4 linked regions of the Nothobranchius furzeri genome follow. The protein of the gene in region 1 purifies or fractionates together with the protein of each later gene. This does not show direct contact. Links are inferred from orthologs where the notes say so. Each region holds a gene or a part of one and is shown in the gene's direction. Other genes may lie near its edges.

Region 1 (4,561 bases):
TGGTGGTGTATAATATTACTTGTGGAGTACCACAAGGGTCAGTACTAGGCCTTAAACTATTATTTATATAAATGATATTGTCTCTGCATCTAATATGTTAAGGTGTATCTTATTTGCTGATTACACAACTTTTTATTATTCAGGAGACAATATTGATCAAATGATAGAAGTGATACAAACAGCGTTGGAAAAAATCAAACTATGGTTCCATGGGAATAAGCTTTCAATGAACACAGATAAATCCTCTTTTGTACGTTCTTGCTGTGTTTGTCTTCAAATTCCATTTTTGGTTCTTTTTTTAACACAAATAAGGTTTTTCTTTACCTTGCTGACTTTTCGTTTGCAGCTGCAAACATCTTCAGAGCTGACGCTGATGGTAGCGTCACTTCCTTATCTCGATAGCTTCCTTTATCCGTCTTTTGTATTTCTGTTGTTCGGTGTTTATGATCCTTGTGTTGTCCCACCCAGTCCATTATACGGTTTTCTCTTGTGCAGTGAGCTGTTGCTGTAACAGATCACTTTTTATAAGCTGTTTCAGCCCTATTGCACATTCACATCACTGAGCATCTATGTTTGTTGAGCCTTCTGGATGATCAGAACTGAAATGAGTCTGCACTCTGTATGCGAACCAACAAGAGGCGACCTGCATCAGCCATGTTAGGTCAGTGGTTGCTTCAGTAATGTTCTCTGTTTCCTGTCTGCACAGATTGCTGGGAATAGAAGAGTGGCAAAATACTGGATTTCAGTATGATGTGATCAGCTGTCTGAACCTGCTGGACCGCTGTGATGACCCTCTGCATCTGCTGCAGGACATCCGGAGCTCCTTAGTACCTGGGACTGGAAGACTGGTCCTGGCAGCAGTCCTTCCCTTCCAGCCATACATAGAGATTGGTCAGTGTGTGTGTACTTGTCTTTATATGTTTAAGTGGACAAATTTTAACTTTAACCTGTAACATGTGGACATTTCCTCATTGTGGGGAAATTTTGCTGGTCCACACAATGCTAAGCACCCTAAAACTTGGTTTTAGAGGTATGGTGTGAATGAACTTTTAGTTTAGATTAGTTTAGGTTTGGTACATGAAATGTCACCTCTCTGGTAGGGGCTGCACAACTGAAGTCAACTGTCAAGTAATGAAAATTGAGTCGACTTTGACTAGTCGTTGATGACGTCATACACCTGAAGCCGGGGGGGGGGGGGGGGGGGGGGGGGGGTTCGCTGGAGTTTTTGACGATTAAAATTGCGCCCACATTTTCAAAGTTAAACACATTTCTTTTAACAGCGGTAGTTTCTGCTTCAGCCCTCTCCCCCCTCCCCCTGCGCAGTGCACCTGCAACCTCTCGGAGTTCCTGCTGCTCTAAACATTAAAATAATTATTTCATTTTCTGTTCCTCACTTCTGATTACCTTCAATGGTGTCTGTTTGTTGCAACCAGCAGGTACAAAAACTAACTTGTTTTTATTTGACTATTTTTCTGTCCTGTATCTGTTTATTATCTTCCTGCATCTCCTCTCAATCCTAAAGAGAAACTGCAACCTGGGTTCATATATATTCACCTCATGAGTTATATTTGAACTGCAGTTCTAAAAGATCTACCGACCGCTAAAACAGCGGAGTGCTCGCTGCTCGCCGGCCACATCAGTGAGGTGAAGTTATTGGAGGACTAAACAGGTGATGCGCCCCGATCCACAGCAGCGAAACACATCAGGCACAAATAAGAGAATAAAAGACAGAAAACATAAAAGGAAATGAGCCGACATGAACGATCGCATGTTAAATTAGTTTTTGAGGTGGCGACACCTGATTTGATAATGTTACTGTGGCCGTGCTCAGGACGCAGATGTCTGGAGCGCGTCAACGATCAGAGCTTTGCATGCACACGCTGGTTAAGGTTAGGATGGGGGTGAGGGGAAGGTTAAATTGCAAGAGGGTAAAGGTCACAATTTGGTTAAATGTCCGTTTTACGGCGGGTGTCAGTACCGACGCTCTGGAACAGCGCGTTGCCTCCCGACGCGCAGGAGCTTGTCACCTGCTGACAGCAGGCTGCTGTCTTTTCCGTGGACTGCATCTTGTCGCTCATTATCACGTGACAGCGACTAGTCGATGACAGGCATAAAAAGTCACTACAGAGCAGTGAAGTCGACTAATCGCGAAGTAGGGACTCCCAGCATGCCCCTCGCGGGGATTCCCTCCACGTCGCACCTACGTCACAAACCGCGGCTATAAACGGAAGTCACCTTTCCAGCTCACCACTCAGTCATCGTTTCTTCAGATTCATGATCGGAGTTTCCAACCTACCGATCAATCCAACGAACTATCAGCTCATAGTAAGTTATCTTACTTACTTCTGGAAAGCCCGGCATTTCCGTGTCACTTCGTTGACGCTTGAACACTCGGGGGTTTCCTAGATTAAGCGTGAGCCGGCGTTTCATCGACGCTCTCACTTCCGCGTCTGTGAAACCACGCGCTCCCTACAAGCTCAACTCCCGAATCCAGCCGACCAGTCTGACATACAGTACTATACTGAATTATCGTATGATCACATTCTCTTTTTGTGGGTAAAAGTCTAGAAAAATGTTTTACTTGTTTTTTTAGTTTCATTACAAAAAGTGCATTTTATGATGAAATTGATGAAAAAAAAACAGGAATTTCTTTATATTTCGCATAGAAAAATACTGTGAATCTGTGAAAAATACAGCGAATCGGCGAATTTCCCTTGAATAAGGCTCCAAAAAAATTCCGCGAAGTCGTGAATCCGCGATAAACGAACCGCGAAGTAGCGAGGGATCACTGTACTTTTAAAATGGTACCGGTTCCTAAACGGTATTTAAATCGGTACTTTAAAACAAACAAACAAAAACAAAAATAAATAACACAAATGTTCAATGATCCCATGACTTTTTATTTCTTAGGGCAAAATCTAAGCCAATCAAATTGACAAACAACATATCGACGCAACAGTTTTAACACTACTTTTTTGGTACCTATTTGTATAATTATAAGATATGATAACAAATAACTAAAAGTTATTTTATTTAATTACAGCAAAAATCACAACAAATGTTCAGTGCAAACAGTAAAGGCACAAGAATTAAACAGTTGCACACAATAAACATTTTTGTGCAAAACAAAAGTTTGTAGTGAAGATAAAGTCCAAACAATTTGTTTGTGTACAAAATACAAACATCTACTCTAAAAACACGGGGAAAATAACATATTTGAACCCCAAATCAACAAACAAATAAAAACATTGTATAAATAAGAGGCAGGAGGAGTAAAAATAACTATTTACACGGTATAAACATTATTCTAGCAGGTTTTCTTCTGAATAATTAGCATGTATGCTTTTTCTGGCAGGTGCTAACAGCCTGGATCGCTTCTGTTTGTATTAAATGGTAACTGGCCTGTATTTGTATAGCGCCATCTTGGGGTTCTACATCCCCCAAGGCGCTTACAACAAAATCGGTCATTCACCCATTCACACACGCATTCGTACACGTGTGGGGATGAGCTACAATGTAGCCACAGCTGCCCTGGGGCGCACTGACAGAGGTGAGGCTGCCGAGCACAGGCGCCACCGGTCCCTCCGACTCAATGTCCCCTGCCTCCCCTGGAACATTTTGGAAGTTCTGTCGGAGGTGGGAATTGAAGCTCCTTCTGACAGGAGACTGCCAGAAGTTCCCAGCAAACCCTCACAATACGTTTGGGCCTGCACTGGTTTACTGCTTGCTGCAGCAGCAGAAGAGCCCTTATTTGGTCAATTAATTCTGACCTGTTAGACGGAATGTCCATTATATTAAAGCTGATGACATGATTCTTTGTAGTCATAGCAACCGTGTGAAATCATAAAGTAAACAAGGTCGGACTTCACACAAAGACACATGTAGCATTCAGTCAATATGGAGAGGTAACTCTGAAGGGCCTTTTTTCCTCCACCTGAACCAATCCTCATATATAAACCCTCTGATCTCTATTAGCGCAGCGCGACTCGGGTGGCGAATGACCACAGTCACCAATTCTTGTCATGTGTCTATGCCTATGTGTGTCTGACCTCAGAATTGTGTGCACTGAAACTCTAATTTCCCTCTGGGATTAATAAAGTATCTATGAATTGAATTGAATTTGGATTCATTTTCAATGCGGTGAGGAAGAAAGTGAAAAAAGTGATTTTCTTTAGTCTAAACAGGTCCAGCTTGGGTAATCGACCCGTAATCATAGGCCACGCCTCCCACGGCTGAGCGGGTTGTTTTAATGTATAGTTTTAGGGGTGCACGCTGTCGTTCGAGCTGCATAAGAAAAACTAGACAATTCCTGAAAACATAATAAAAAGGGTCCTGCCACCTGGCACAAGACAGTGCTAACGCAAATCTAAAAAAGCCACACACTCAACGTTTGAAAGGATAACTCAATCTGCCCAAATTTCAGACATTTTCCAAAGTTTTTTGCTAATAACTTTGCCGTGGTAAATCAAATTGTGTACAAAAGTTACAGCCTACCTCCCACGCATACGTGAAGGACAAGATGCTACCATGAAAGGTTCCTGCCAAGATTTGAACTAGGAAC
Region 2 (5,074 bases), on another chromosome or scaffold:
GGTTTATTATCTTTAACAAAAAACAAATATTACAGTCAAACGCTGACCTACTTCAGCCCCTGGCTTAACTGTGGTGTTAACATGTTGCAGAGTGTTCATGGAAACAACGTTGTTGTTGTTTTTTTTTTGTTTCCTTCTTTTCCTTAACTCCAGAAAGGGAGCAGGAGCTGTGTGTCCGTGAGAAACTGGCAAATGAAAAGCTAGCACGGTAAATTCTCTACAAAAAACCCACATTTGACCTATTTTGTACATTCAACGCCGTCTTTCTTTGTTGGTCTTTTCAGCTGATTCTTGTTCTCCCTCTATCTGTGCTTTTTAGAGCAGACAGTTTGCTGAAGAATTACGGCGACCTGCAGCACCAGAAGGACCTGGCACTGATCTATGGCAGAGACATAGGTATGAGAAACCGACGGAGACATTTGGACAAACTGAACTGAGATGTTTTTATGTTAATGAACTTTAATCACTGAAATTAATCAGGTTTATGTCATGTAAATAAAGTTTTTATACAACTGTGTTGTCTTAATTAAATTAAACTTGCATTTTAAAGACTCAAACCACACAATGTGCAATCTGAAGTCTGTTGTCAATGCAGAAGTTTAAGTTCCTGATTGAATAAAGCTTATCCTGATGTTTGCTTATTAGTGATTTGACTTTGCATTTTTTTTGAGTGTAGATTTGGAGAATCTGTCTCCGGGTAAGAAGAAGGTCCACTTTGCCGGTGAAAGCAAAGAGAATCAGCAGCTTGATGATCGGAGCGCAACGTCACAGGAGCTAGTGCTGAGGAGACTGCAGGCAGCCAAGCTTCGTGCCAAAAAACTGAATGAAGTGGAGAAGATCTGTCAGTTTAAGAGTAGACAGATCCTTGGCATCCGTTAAACAAAACTGTTGCATATGAATGTGAAGGGCTGAATCTTTACAATTTCATGTACATCTAGTAATTTATAAGATAAAAGTGCAATTGTGACTATAGCAAATCTGTTAGTCAAAATATGTCTTGTATTTTATTCTAGTTTTGTAGTGTCAGTTTTATTCAGCTGCACAGTGTGATGTGTGTGTTAATCTTACAGGCAGCTAAAGTGATTTTAGAATGTAATTTGTATGTTTTTGCTTTGATTTGAGGTAGTTTATCAATTTTGTTGATAATTGGCATGAAAAGGCAGCTTATTCTAGGAATATTTCCAGAACCTCTGCTAATAAAGAAACCTGTTCCGTGACTATAAATGTTAGCTTCCTTTAAACACTGAAAATTATGATTTCATTCCATATACATATATATATATATATATATATATATATACACACACACACATTTTTTTTAAGTATTGATTTTATTGTACCTTTCTTAAACACCCCACAAGGGGTCATCACGTTTCCTGTGATACATTTGATAACGGGCAACAAAGCAGAGATCACCACACCTGGAAGTCATTGCTTTGTTTGGTGAACATCATTAGAATAACTAAACACTGAAGCCGATTAATAAATTAGATTATTTATTTAGCAATTATAGACACAGCTCTAGGCCTGATTCACAAGCATGGTTTGAGAAAACGACTCAATTGTGCTAGAAACAAATCAAAGACTTCAAAAAATCTGTTGATGTTTGCCTTCTTTGACTGAATTATCTTCATTGATGAAGCGGAATAAATGTTGGCAAAATCATCGATCACACACATAGCGTCATAAAATATCGCGAGATTTACCGTTAGCGTGCGTAGCGTAGCAACCAGCGTTGTCTGGTTCCTTAGCACCTCCTACTTAGTTACAAACGTAATAACATTCGACCAATCATATGCCTTCTTAGGAGCTCCTCGTCCAATCAGAGGTATCGTGGGCGGTTCCTAGCGCGTCTTGTTCCGTGTGGAAAGTTTACCGGCTCGGGTGCAAAGTTTCAGCCGTCTGCAAACTGGAGCTCGTCGACAGACGTGTCTGAAATGTGCTGGTGACGTTTGTGATCTATTCACACGGTTACTAGAATTTAGTTACTTCCTCTAATAGTTTTCCTCGTCGTTGGTCTTTGATATAGCTGCTGCCAGATATCAGCATCGGAAGCTGTTAGCATCGACTGCATTGTCTCAGGGAGGTGGCTCACAGATGTCAGGGAAGACCCGGTGAAGCGTTATCTGATTCTAAACTTGAATCGACGAAAAACTAAAGAAATCAAGATGGCCTGCGAGCCCAATCGTGCCCGTTTGCTGTGTATGCTGTCTCTGACTTTCGGCTTCTTCATCGTAGAAGTGGTGGTGAGTCGTATCACCTCTTCTCTGTCCATGCTGTCGGACTCTTTTCACATGCTATCGGACGTCATCGCCCTGGTCGTGGCTCTGGTCGCCGTGCGGTTCGCCGAGAAAACCCACTCGACCAATAAGAACACCTTCGGCTGGATCCGGGCGGAGGTGATGGGGGCTCTGGTCAACGCCGTCTTCCTCACGGCGCTGTGCTTCACCATTGTCCTGGAGGTGATCGAGCGTTTCACCGAGCCGCATGAGATCGAGAGGCCGGTGGTGGTCGCCGGGGTCGGAGCCGCGGGGCTTCTAGTCAACCTACTCGGTTTGTGTTTGTTCCACGGACACGCCGGCGGAGGCCACGGTCACTCCCACGGGGGTCACTCTCACGGAGGCAAAGGCAAGAGAGGAAAAGCGCAGAAGACTGGCAACGGGTCAGCTGGAGAGGAGTCCAACAATTTAGTGGGGAACCACAGCAGCCCTGGTGATGGGAGACCCAGAACCGGTAAGTGTGGACAGAATGGTTATAATCAGACTTCTCACAGATCTCCTTCTAATAAATTAAACACCCCAGATGACTCAAAACTACAGCAGTTAGTCATCAATCCACCATGAGGTCTGCTTAAGCCCATTATTCTTAGACAGCTGTGTTGTTTTGGTCACGGATGTTTGGTAACATTTATTTGTTGGGTCAGTAAATCCTTAGAAACTAAACTCCTGTGACGAGTGTTCCTTCTCCCAGCTGTTTTTAGAAACATCTGGTGTTTTAAAGTCAGATCTGAAATGTTCTTGTAGCTCTTTTTTGTTGCTTAAATTTCTTAAGGTCACACAGAAAAATCACCCAATAAGCTGCTGGTCCTACAGTGCCCTCCCATCAATAAAGGGTTAAACCCATATACAGAAGACCCCCCCCACACACACACACACACAGTTAGGCTCTGACAGCTTCAATAAATGGCCACTATATCCCCTTCTCTATGCACTGATTGCTGCTACTGGGTCATACATCAGTGTAACCGTGGAGTCGACAGACCCAGACACACCATTAGCGGTTGATGAATGACCCGATGGCGCCCCTGGATGGAAAAGAGCCGTGGCCGTTCCTCAGGTGCTGCTCCCCCAGCTCTGCCTCTCTGCCCGCAGTCGCTAATTGAATTTGCTTACTGTGAGTGTAGTGTTATGTTCTATTTAGGATACCGCACTCCAGGAGTTCACTCATTCATTCACAGCATGTTCTCTCTTGTGTGCAGTCCCAAGATCTTGGTGAAGATCTTTAAAGTTTGATTTGTTTGTTTCACATGTTCCTTTTGACACTTCCTATGTTTCAGTATCTTGGTGTCAAAGTCTGTGGTGATCTGAACTCACTTTTCTGATGTTTATCTTCAGATGTGAGCTGTACGGACAGCCCAGAGCTGCAGATGAATGGCAACACCCACTTCGACGAGCTGGACCTTGACCACGACTCGTCGTCGCAGCTCAACATGCGCGGGGTCTTCCTCCACGTGCTGGGGGACGCCCTGGGCTCTGTCATTGTGGTGGTCAACTCTGTCATTTTCACTTTTGTGTGGAATAGCTGTAAGGGCAGAGAAAACTGCGTGGACCTTTGTACCGACAAACACGCCATAGCCAACCAATATGGCAATTCCACAGTAACCGCTGGGCCCTGCTGGGTTCTCTACATGGATCCCACGCTGTGCATCATCATGGTGTGCATCCTGCTCTACACAACCTACCCGCTGCTGAAAGAGTCAGCCCTCATCCTGCTGCAGACTGTCCCCAAGCAGATCAACATACACCACCTGAATGAGCGGCTGCTGGGCCTGGACGGCGTCCTGGCCATCCACGATCTGCACATCTGGCAGCTGGCCGGGAGCAGGATCATTGCCACGGCACACATCAAATGCCACGACCCCACAGCTTACATGGAGGTGGCCAAGCGCATCAAGGACTTCTTCCACGACGAGGGCATCCACGCCACCACCATCCAGCCGGAGTTCGTCACGTTCAGCTCGGAGTCTCGGGACTCCTTGTGCGAGCTCTCCTGTAGGACTCAGTGCGCTCCCAAACTGTGCTGCGGCTCCACGGACAAACAGAAGGCCGGCAGTGACAGCAAAGCTGCTCTCGCCTCGGGCTTGGAGGTGATCAGCGAGACCCCAGAGCAGGCTGCTGAGGTTCAGGTTTGCCCTCGGACTGAGGCCGAGGTCGCCGTCACCAGAGAGGTGGAGTCGTCTCTGTGAAAACGGGTGGAAGAGGAAACGGGAAGACATCGCTGTCATTTAAAGGAAGCTGGAATTGTCGGACCTGATTAGAAATGACTTGTTCCTGTTCACGAATTTGATCCGTAGCCTCGTTCCCGTTGTCTTGCTTCTCCCAGCAGCATGGTTGTGATGCATGCTGGGATACACGGACCTCCTCTTCTCCAGGACTGGATCGAGGCCTGCATGAGTGTCCCTCATCAGCACCGTGCTGTGACGTCTCATCTTGTTTTCTGGTGTTTTCTGTGCCAAAGCTTCTCATCGCAGGTCCAAAGGGACCCGACAGCCCCCCCCCCCCCCAGTAGGCTACAGAGTTGAACCTACAGACCTCTTGACAAAACTTCTTGTTGTTTTTTGCCTTTAGGCATTGTGCAAATCTATTTTCTTATACCCTTTTGGCTACGAGTGGAATAGTATTGTGTTGCATAATAATTTAAGTATTTATTAGAAATGATTTATCGCTCTGTAGATGCTGTTTGTAATATTTAGTTTGAATAATTAACAAAGATTTTAGCAGTTTTATCTTGTTTTGAAAGAAACATTAATGCTGTAGTATTATTTTTCAAATCGGATGCTTTTATAATGATTTAG
Region 3 (3,383 bases), on another chromosome or scaffold:
AGCTGAAATAGTCTTTTTGGCGTCGTAACAAACTCGTTGGTTGGGGATTTAACGCTGTAGCGTAGCGGGATGAAATGAACCAGAGTTTGTAACTTTAGAGCTAATACGTGACCTACAAACGTGTTAGGGTAAAGGTAATAAACTCACCATCATACCTTTGTTGCTACACCTGTGAATACAAGCAACTGTTGATGTTAGCAGCAACAAGAGGTATTAGCTTACAGAGGCGACTCTTCGTTCTCCGCTGTGACGTGTTTCCCTTTAAGGCGCTCGTGCGTCGCCGATGTGCTCTTCTGAAAGGAGAGTTTCACCTTACTGATGTTGCACTGCGTGCTTCTCTTTTGTCTTTGGAAAATGCTCCCAAACCTTTGAGCTACGTTGCCGACTGGCCCTGATGTCAAAGGCATGTGTCTCGAGCAGAAAACAGCCCCCGAAGGTGCCGCAACACACGAGATTTAAAAAATGCTCATAGAATGCACGACTAGTTTGTCGATGTCGTCGTGACAAATCGACTAATCATACCAGCTCAGTGGCCTAGCGGTAGAGTGTCCCCCCTGAGACTGGGAGGTCAGAGTTTGATTCCTGGTCAGGTCATACTTAGAAAAAAATGGGACCCAGTTCCTCCCTGCTTGACACAGCATTAAGGGGTTGGATTGGGGGGGCTAAACCACCAAATGGTTCCCGAGCGCGGCCGCGCCTGCAGCTCACTGCTCACCCGGGGATGGGTCAGATGCAGAGAACAAATTTTGCACACACACACCTGTGTGTGTGTGAGACAACTGATGGGACGAGGCTAGCTTGTTATGGGCTCGACACACGGGAGGCCACATCCCCTCTCCTCCGTTCATTTTCAATGAGACATGCACGACAAAGCGATAATAGCGGGTCTCCCTCCTACCAAGCGAAACGCGAAAAACGTGCGTGTGAAATTTTACGCTCGTGCGCGTGTCGTGCACAGGCGACGCAGCGACGTGATCCCAGAAAGTTTAAATATTTTCAACTTTTCATCGCCGTGAAACATCATATTTACCACTTTATTAACTCTGAACCGCTTAAATAACCTTAATTCCCTCCAACCTGACACAGCCAAGCAGAACAACGGAAGATCCGATTTCGCCATGGAACAGGACGCGTCGACGGCTTTGCCGCTGGCCGCTGGTCGCCTCCCGTGTGTCGGGTAATAAAAGCGACTAATTTCGCTGATCGCGGTCGTTTGTCGCCTCCCGTGTGTCGAGCCCATTATTCTGTTGTTCTCAGATTTGCTCTTCCTGCCTGCTCTGGAGCAGCTTGTTTACTTACAGCAGACGTGTCCAAAGTGCAGCTCGGGGGCCGTTGGTGGTCCTCACGGTGGTTTTGTTCTGCGTTTCTAGTGTGGTCGACTTTTCACTTCAAGAGGCTGTTAACGTAGATCAGCACTTTTTAAACACATTCGTGTTCAGATTATGTTCACAACTATTTAACGTTAAAGGTGCGGTTGAATGAGTACAGGGTATCCGCAGGTCCTTAAAAAGTCTTAAATTTGCTTTTCCAAATTTAAGGTCTTGAAAATCCTTAAATACAGTTTCCTGAGGTCTTAAATGACCAAAGACCAATAAACAAGATTCTTTTATTTCTATAAAAATTTCGTGAATTTCTAGTGAGTGTTCAGCGTTTGTTGTGCACGATGTTGCCGTAAGCGGAACCGTACACATTCAGTTGGTTGTGAAAGGGGACTATTTTTAGATGAGCACGTTAGCTGGTTAAGCTAGTGGGAGCTTGCGCCATGGGGAAGTGCAAGTTTAATGGTAACTGGATGGCTAATCCCACGTTCGCTACGTGGTTAGCGCCGGTTCCAGGCAATAGCTGGAAATTATAGCTTAAATTTGGTCAAAGTGGCCTTAAAAAAGGTCTTAAAAAGTCTTAAATTTTGCTTCCTTAAACCTGCAGATACCCTGGAATAAACATTTTTTACGATTATTTCTGATTATAATCGATCACTCTTGAGTTTTTCATCACAATGCATGAGCGATACTTTTGGGACTGTGTCGGAGATGTTTGGGTCACACAATGTTGCTTCTGACTGTGAGAACCAGACCATCTGGCTGTTCCTCACGAGTCTCACGGTCCAGTCAGATCCGGGTCTAGCCTCTCATTCTGGTCCCAAGCCCAAACACTGATGCTAAAACCTCCTCCTCTGTAGGTGACGGCCATTTTGAAAGACGTGGGGGTGAATAACCTGTCGGTCCAGGTGGAGAAGGAGGCGTACTTCCAGCACATGTCGGGACTCAGCACCGGATTCCACGATGTTCTGGCGATGACCCAACAAATGGAGTCGATGAAGCACCTGAACGACGGGACGTGTATCATGTAATAAACCAAACCCCATGACACACGTACGGCAACAAAGGAGGACCAAAATTCCCCAGTGAACTGTACAGAGTATGTTGGAATAAATCTGATTATGCTGCTTTTAGTTCCTGTTTGATGATGTTTGATTTACTGCTCACATCTCTAGAGGCTTCTGGGTTTTTAAACCCTAAATATTTGAGTCCCATAAAGGTGTCAACCTTGAACCATAAACCTGAGTCGGCATACATCTGCCATCTCCGTAAAAACCAGGAGAAATGGTGTGTGGGAACATTCTGGCTTTATTAAAGCAGCGAGCATTAATCTAATGCATATAAATGTGAAGGAAGACACCGTGGAGCATCCTCTGTTGCTACGGTGCAGAGAGACGCTGGTTCTGGTACTGCTGATATGTGTCGCCCCGTGAAAACACACAAAGGTTCCTTCCACATGTTCAGACGACACGCAGGAGTCTGCAACGCTTCGGGTCGTCTGGAATGTGCAAAACTGGGGAGGAGGTGGGGGCGGGGGGCATGCATCCTACTGCGGCAACTCGCTTCCTTCTACTCGATCTCATTGGAGCTTCCGACGGTGGCTCCGATCTCCGTCTCTGCAGAGGAAACAAAAACATCAGGAAGCTGCTGACCTGTTCTCACCGGAAACCGGTGAATCGTCCGTTTACCTGGGCAAGGTCCTCCCTCCAAGATGATGTCATCAATGGCGATGTCACTCCTCACCGAGGAGCCTCGGATGGCTTCAAATACAATCTGTGACACAAATGGTAAATGGCCGGTGTTTGATAAAGCGCCTTCTAGAGTCCTGGAACCCCCCCAAGGCGCTTTACAACACAATCAGTCATTCACCCATTCACACACACATTCACACACTGATGGTGATGAGCTACGATGTAGCCACAGCTGCCCTGGGGCCCACTGACACAGGCGCCACCGGTCCCTCCAACCACCACCAGCAGACAACGTGGGTTAAGTGTCTTGCCCAAGGACACAGCGACAGACTGAGCGGGGCTCGAACCTGCAACCTTCCGATTACGGGGCGAG
Region 4 (4,561 bases), on another chromosome or scaffold:
GCTGTTATGGTGAGATGAAGGTGCTCCAGCTTTGAATGTTGTTTGTTTACAGGCTTGTTAGCCACATTTTACAGGTTTTGTCATAAAATTAGAGGTGAGATGATTTTTTTCCTGTAATATGTCAGAGTTTCAGGGCGGGATGAGTTTTTCTCTGCTCTGGTCTGGCCCTGGGGAATCCGAAACATCTCCGAAACAGCTGCGATGTTTTAACTCTGATCTTGTCGGTGGACCCCCAGGAACACAAATCGTGTCTCCTGACGTGGTCCATGCCTTTTGATCAGAGGATTCCTTTTCTGTTTTTGCAGGGGGACCATACGTGAGGAGACAATGCGAGTGCACGTGCATACCAAGTTTTGCCTCTTGTGCGTGCTCACCTTCATCTTGCATCAGTGCAACCACTGCCATGGAGGGCACAGCCATGACAGTGATGGACATCACCACGATGAGCACAGCGATCTGCAGATTTCCAACGCTCCCTACGTAAGAGCTGCCACCGCGTCTCCAAACTCCAAAAGCCCCGCCACCTTAGAGGAGGAGCAGCGCTTCTACATCCAGCAGTTGTTCAGGCGCTACGGTCAGAGGGACCGCTTAGATTTCCAGGGATTTCAGAGTCTGCTGTTTAGCTTGGGTCTGGGAGAAGTCAAGGTGGTTGATGCAGATCACGAGGAGCTGGGCCACGACCACGTAGCCCACCTCGACCTGCTGGATCTGCAAGAGGGGCTGCACTCACACTCATCTCCCAGTGAAGGCCACCGTCATCACCAGCGCCATGATCATTCCCATCACAAACCACATTCCCAAACTCACTCCCACACGGAGCAAATCCCAACACGCTGCAGCCACACCACGGCCTCAAGTCCAGCTTCTGGTGAACCCGTAAATCATGGCCACAATCATACTCACCATCACAGCGAGGCTGAGGATAGTAACCATCAACCTTCTGATGAAGAGGTCCACCACAGGGACGTGTCCTCTCACTCTCATGGTCACCACGAGCATGACCTTCATCACATTAATACAGGCAAAGATGCGTCCTCCACCCGCCTGCAACCGTCGTCTCCAGTCCCGACGGGGAGTCGACCTAAAAGGCCCAGAAAGCAGCCAAAGGTCAGAGGTCAGCAAGGGCCAAACAAGTCCCCAACCCCTGACACACCTCCACCTGATGACCATGACCACAGTCATGACCCTCATCACAAACATGGCCACGCTCATAAAGAGAAGAGAGAGGCTCCGGGGGCTCTGGTCACGCCTCTCCCTGTGAACTCCAGACATGCAGGTGGACTGTCTCACCAGCATGAGGAGGTAGGCGCTCAGCCTGTCAAGACAAAGATCACGTTCCTGTGGATTTATATTCTGTTATGTTTCTCTACAGATGAAGCAGTTTTCTAGATCCATCTGAAGCCTTTTCTGACGGGATAAGAGTCTGAGCTTTTTTATCCGCTTTCATTAAAACACTCTGGAGGATCAAATGAGAATTCTCTTGTTCTGATGCTTTTGGTGACATCTTTAAAACGTGTCTTTGAGTTGTTGTTGAAGGCGCTTTATGAAACTTATGTTTATTATTAATGATCAATAGAAAATAATATTCATAATCTCCATTTAAGCCTTTCAGCTCGGTCTTGTGGTTGGTTTCAGTATGTTCCAAGCAGGCGTGACTTTTGCTTCTCATTTCCAGTGGAAAGCCTCTAGTACGTGTTTCAGTACATTTTCATCATGGCTGATAGTTTTTCCTTGTTTATTGTTTTAATGCAGTGCTTGAACCTCACCCAGCTCCTCTCCTACTACGGCCTGCACCCTGAAGCCCTCATCTCCCCCAGCCAGTTCACCTACCTGTGCCCGGCCCTACTGTACCAGATAGACAGCCGTGTCTGTATCCGCCATTACCACCAGATGGAGGTGGAGCAGGAGGCCCTGGAGTCCGTCAGCTCTGGTAGGACCCTTTGTTATGCACTCGTCACCTGAGACTGTTATAGGAACTTTGGCAAATATAACAAATAGGGGTCTTTCATGGCATTTCCTGAAATATAATGACGGGGATGAATGGAAAAGCAGGCATTTATCCTTAGTGTGTACTTGGGGCTTACACAAAGCATCAGCGTTTCTGATCTGACCAGTTCTCTGCTTCAAACCAGCACTTTGACAGAAGATAAGAAGAAGCAGTGCCTTTTAACCCATTAGTCTTTCATCACAGTCCAGCCTGTTTGTTTGATCAATAGATCGTTGTTGTGTGGTGTCAGTCAATAGGCCACGGACAACATCTTCACCGGCAACACACCTCAGGCATTGATTGGCATAAAAGATAAAAGAAAATCTCATCTAAGGCTGCAGACCTGAAGAGATTTTAGTTTGAAGATAGTTTCTTGGGTTTTAGGTCGATAACAACACGTGCATTTCCTGTTTACTTTCAACTCTGATCCACGCGGTTCCATCTTTAGGGTCTTGTTTGTATGTCCTTTGCTTATTCCAGGAAAACGCGTTTTAAAAATGCCCTGCAGCACGTTCATAGCTGCGCTTTTATGGAAGTCTTTAGATTTTGTAAATGTTGATGACCCTTCAGGTTGTGTTTAATTCATTTATGAACAGAAGATGGTGATTGTGTCAGAAACGCATTACGAATTCATTCAAAATGCTTTTTTATGCCAGCTGCTGTAATGGGTTGTTACAGCAGGGTTCCTTGTTGGTTCTGGATATAGAAAGTTCTACTTGTTGGTTTCATTTTCGAGTCTGATTGAATGTGCATAGCTAATGGTCGTCAGCAGGAGTCGATAGACAGGAAATGTAATGTAGTAGAGAGGGATGGGTATTGTGGTTGATCCAGCCAGGCTTTGATCCACTAGTAAAACATCGAATAAGGGAGAACCGAGGATAATCAGGGCTTCTCATCACATCCAGCGGTTTTTAATGGATTATGTGGAAGGCTGTAAGCATTTGTATCTTTTCCTCACAGTTTACACTTTTAGTTGCTGTGGCAGTTAATATATCATTGTCCTCAGGGTTTTCCTGCATCCATAAGTTTGGGAAACTCTGGTTAGGTATGTGCGTTTTTCAGATAGTGTTAAGATCACATTCAAAAACGAGTGAAAGTAGGGATGCACCCACCCTGTGTGTCGTACCCGATATTACACCACCAGATACTGATCATGTGGGTCCACCATGGTGGGCGTTACGGGAGTGTCGAACAGTCAGCAAATTGGCCAGTTTGGACTTTCTTCTGCTAGTTCAAGCCCAGTTCACTTGTTGGGAGATGTAGCAAACCTAGCTGGGGCTTATAGCGGTGTTTACCAAAGTTTAGTGTAAGCTAGTTTACAAACGCTAGCTTATGTTGTCCCTGCTGCTGTGTTTGCCAGGTTGCCGACTTTTCCAGAATTCACCCCACTGGATTTATTTATTTATTTATTTATTCTTCTGTGTCCTGTCTGGCTGCGAAGCAAACTGAATTGATGTCTGAATGCTGGTGACAAGCCTTACAGATTTATTCTCAGGTGGAGCATCAAAGCGTCTGCTTTTAATGTCACGCCTGATACTTAAAACTTTATTAGGGTTCCAAGCCCAAAGGGCATTGGAACCCTATTGTTTTTCTACGGATTTTTCATTATTCTTCTTCTCCGCTAATACTGTATGGGGACAAGAGCCTGAAATTGCCAGGAAAAATCTGATATGGCAGTCTGATAGACAATCCTGACCGCTACTCAAGTTCGAAAATTTGGACCACGAGTCACCTAGGTGGCGCTATTGCGGAGGTGAATACGTTTGAGCTACTAGCTCCCAAACCATAGGCCCTACAGTCAAAAAACTTTATATGGACATGATCCTTGGATGATTCTGCATCTTTTTTGTATTGGCCACGCCCATTTCTGCCTAACTAGATTTTTTGCTAGATCTCAAAAAACGCAAAACTTAGTTTTAATCACCTATTCGTCATTTTTCGTCGACTCAACTTCAACCTTTGAACATATGATATATGGAGGATGAGAAGTGGTTGTGATGAAGAAAAACGCGGAATTATTGAAAATTGGGTTAATGACACCATGTCAAATTCAGTGCGCTAGCTAGCACATGTCCTAATTGATTATATCTTCAACAATTTTCAAGATAAAATGATGAGACTCTAGAACCTTACAAAGTATGAGCGGTAAACCCTATCTACGCAATTTTGTTTGGATTCACCAATAGGGGGCGCTAAAGATTCAAAAAGTTTGTTTCAGCAAAACGGCTTGATGGATTTCCACAAAACTTGGCAGATATGTTTATCATTGGACCCTTACGCTATATTTCGAAAATGATTTAAAAGTGGGCGTGGCTTATAGGCTATAAATAGGCTTTAAAAGTTTTCGCCCATTTACTCATGAAAAATATATATTCTGTACAGAAAGTTACAAATCAAATCAGTCATAGTGACATCTACAATCACAGAAAAAATTAGAATTTTTTCCAATAGATGGCGCTGTTGTACATGGTCTCATCCAGTATGTTTATTGATTCAGTCAAATTTAGATGAGTATTTAAAAAAATTATCTAAACTTATGCTAATTAGTAGAAATTTGCATAGTAAGTCAAACGT

The links.
Region 2: the proteins of mettl9 (region 1) and slc30a1a purify together in Homo sapiens (co-immunoprecipitation; 3 studies listed by BioGRID and IntAct, with this or other methods). This does not show direct contact. The link is inferred for Nothobranchius furzeri from reciprocal best matches to the Homo sapiens genes METTL9 and SLC30A1.
Region 3: the proteins of mettl9 (region 1) and slc30a5 purify together in Homo sapiens (co-immunoprecipitation; 3 studies listed by BioGRID and IntAct, with this or other methods). This does not show direct contact. The link is inferred for Nothobranchius furzeri from reciprocal best matches to the Homo sapiens genes METTL9 and SLC30A5.
Region 4: the proteins of mettl9 (region 1) and slc39a10 purify together in Homo sapiens (co-immunoprecipitation; 3 studies listed by BioGRID and IntAct, with this or other methods). This does not show direct contact. The link is inferred for Nothobranchius furzeri from reciprocal best matches to the Homo sapiens genes METTL9 and SLC39A10.

What each region holds. Positions count from the first base shown.
Region 1 is NC_091756.1:2,166,034-2,170,594, forward strand, and holds part of mettl9 (protein-L-histidine N-pros-methyltransferase), read left to right. Parts: intron 1-706; coding exon 707-891; intron 892-4,561. UniProt on the Homo sapiens protein: Protein-histidine N-methyltransferase that specifically catalyzes 1-methylhistidine (pros-methylhistidine) methylation of target proteins.
Region 2 is NC_091742.1:7,795,746-7,800,819, reverse strand, and holds the start of slc30a1a (zinc transporter 1a), read left to right. Parts: upstream 1-1,471; 5' UTR 1,472-2,168; coding exon 2,169-2,733; intron 2,734-3,614; coding exon 3,615-4,465; 3' UTR 4,466-5,074. Other genes in the region: serine/threonine-protein kinase Nek2, read left to right, coding at 154-208, 320-396, 677-879. UniProt on the Homo sapiens protein: Zinc ion:proton antiporter that could function at the plasma membrane mediating zinc efflux from cells against its electrochemical gradient protecting them from intracellular zinc accumulation and toxicity.
Region 3 is NC_091746.1:73,802,397-73,805,779, forward strand, and holds the end of slc30a5 (proton-coupled zinc antiporter SLC30A5), read left to right. Parts: intron 1-2,179; coding exon 2,180-2,350; 3' UTR 2,351-2,452; downstream 2,453-3,383. Other genes in the region: MAM domain-containing protein 2, read right to left, coding at 2,889-2,935, 3,008-3,092. UniProt on the Homo sapiens protein: Together with SLC30A6 forms a functional proton-coupled zinc ion antiporter mediating zinc entry into the lumen of organelles along the secretory pathway.
Region 4 is NC_091754.1:1,907,030-1,911,590, forward strand, and holds part of slc39a10 (zinc transporter ZIP10), read left to right. Parts: intron 1-305; 5' UTR 306-327; coding exon 328-1,302; intron 1,303-1,752; coding exon 1,753-1,930; intron 1,931-4,561. UniProt on the Homo sapiens protein: Zinc-influx transporter. When associated with SLC39A6, the heterodimer formed by SLC39A10 and SLC39A6 mediates cellular zinc uptake to trigger cells to undergo epithelial-to-mesenchymal transition (EMT).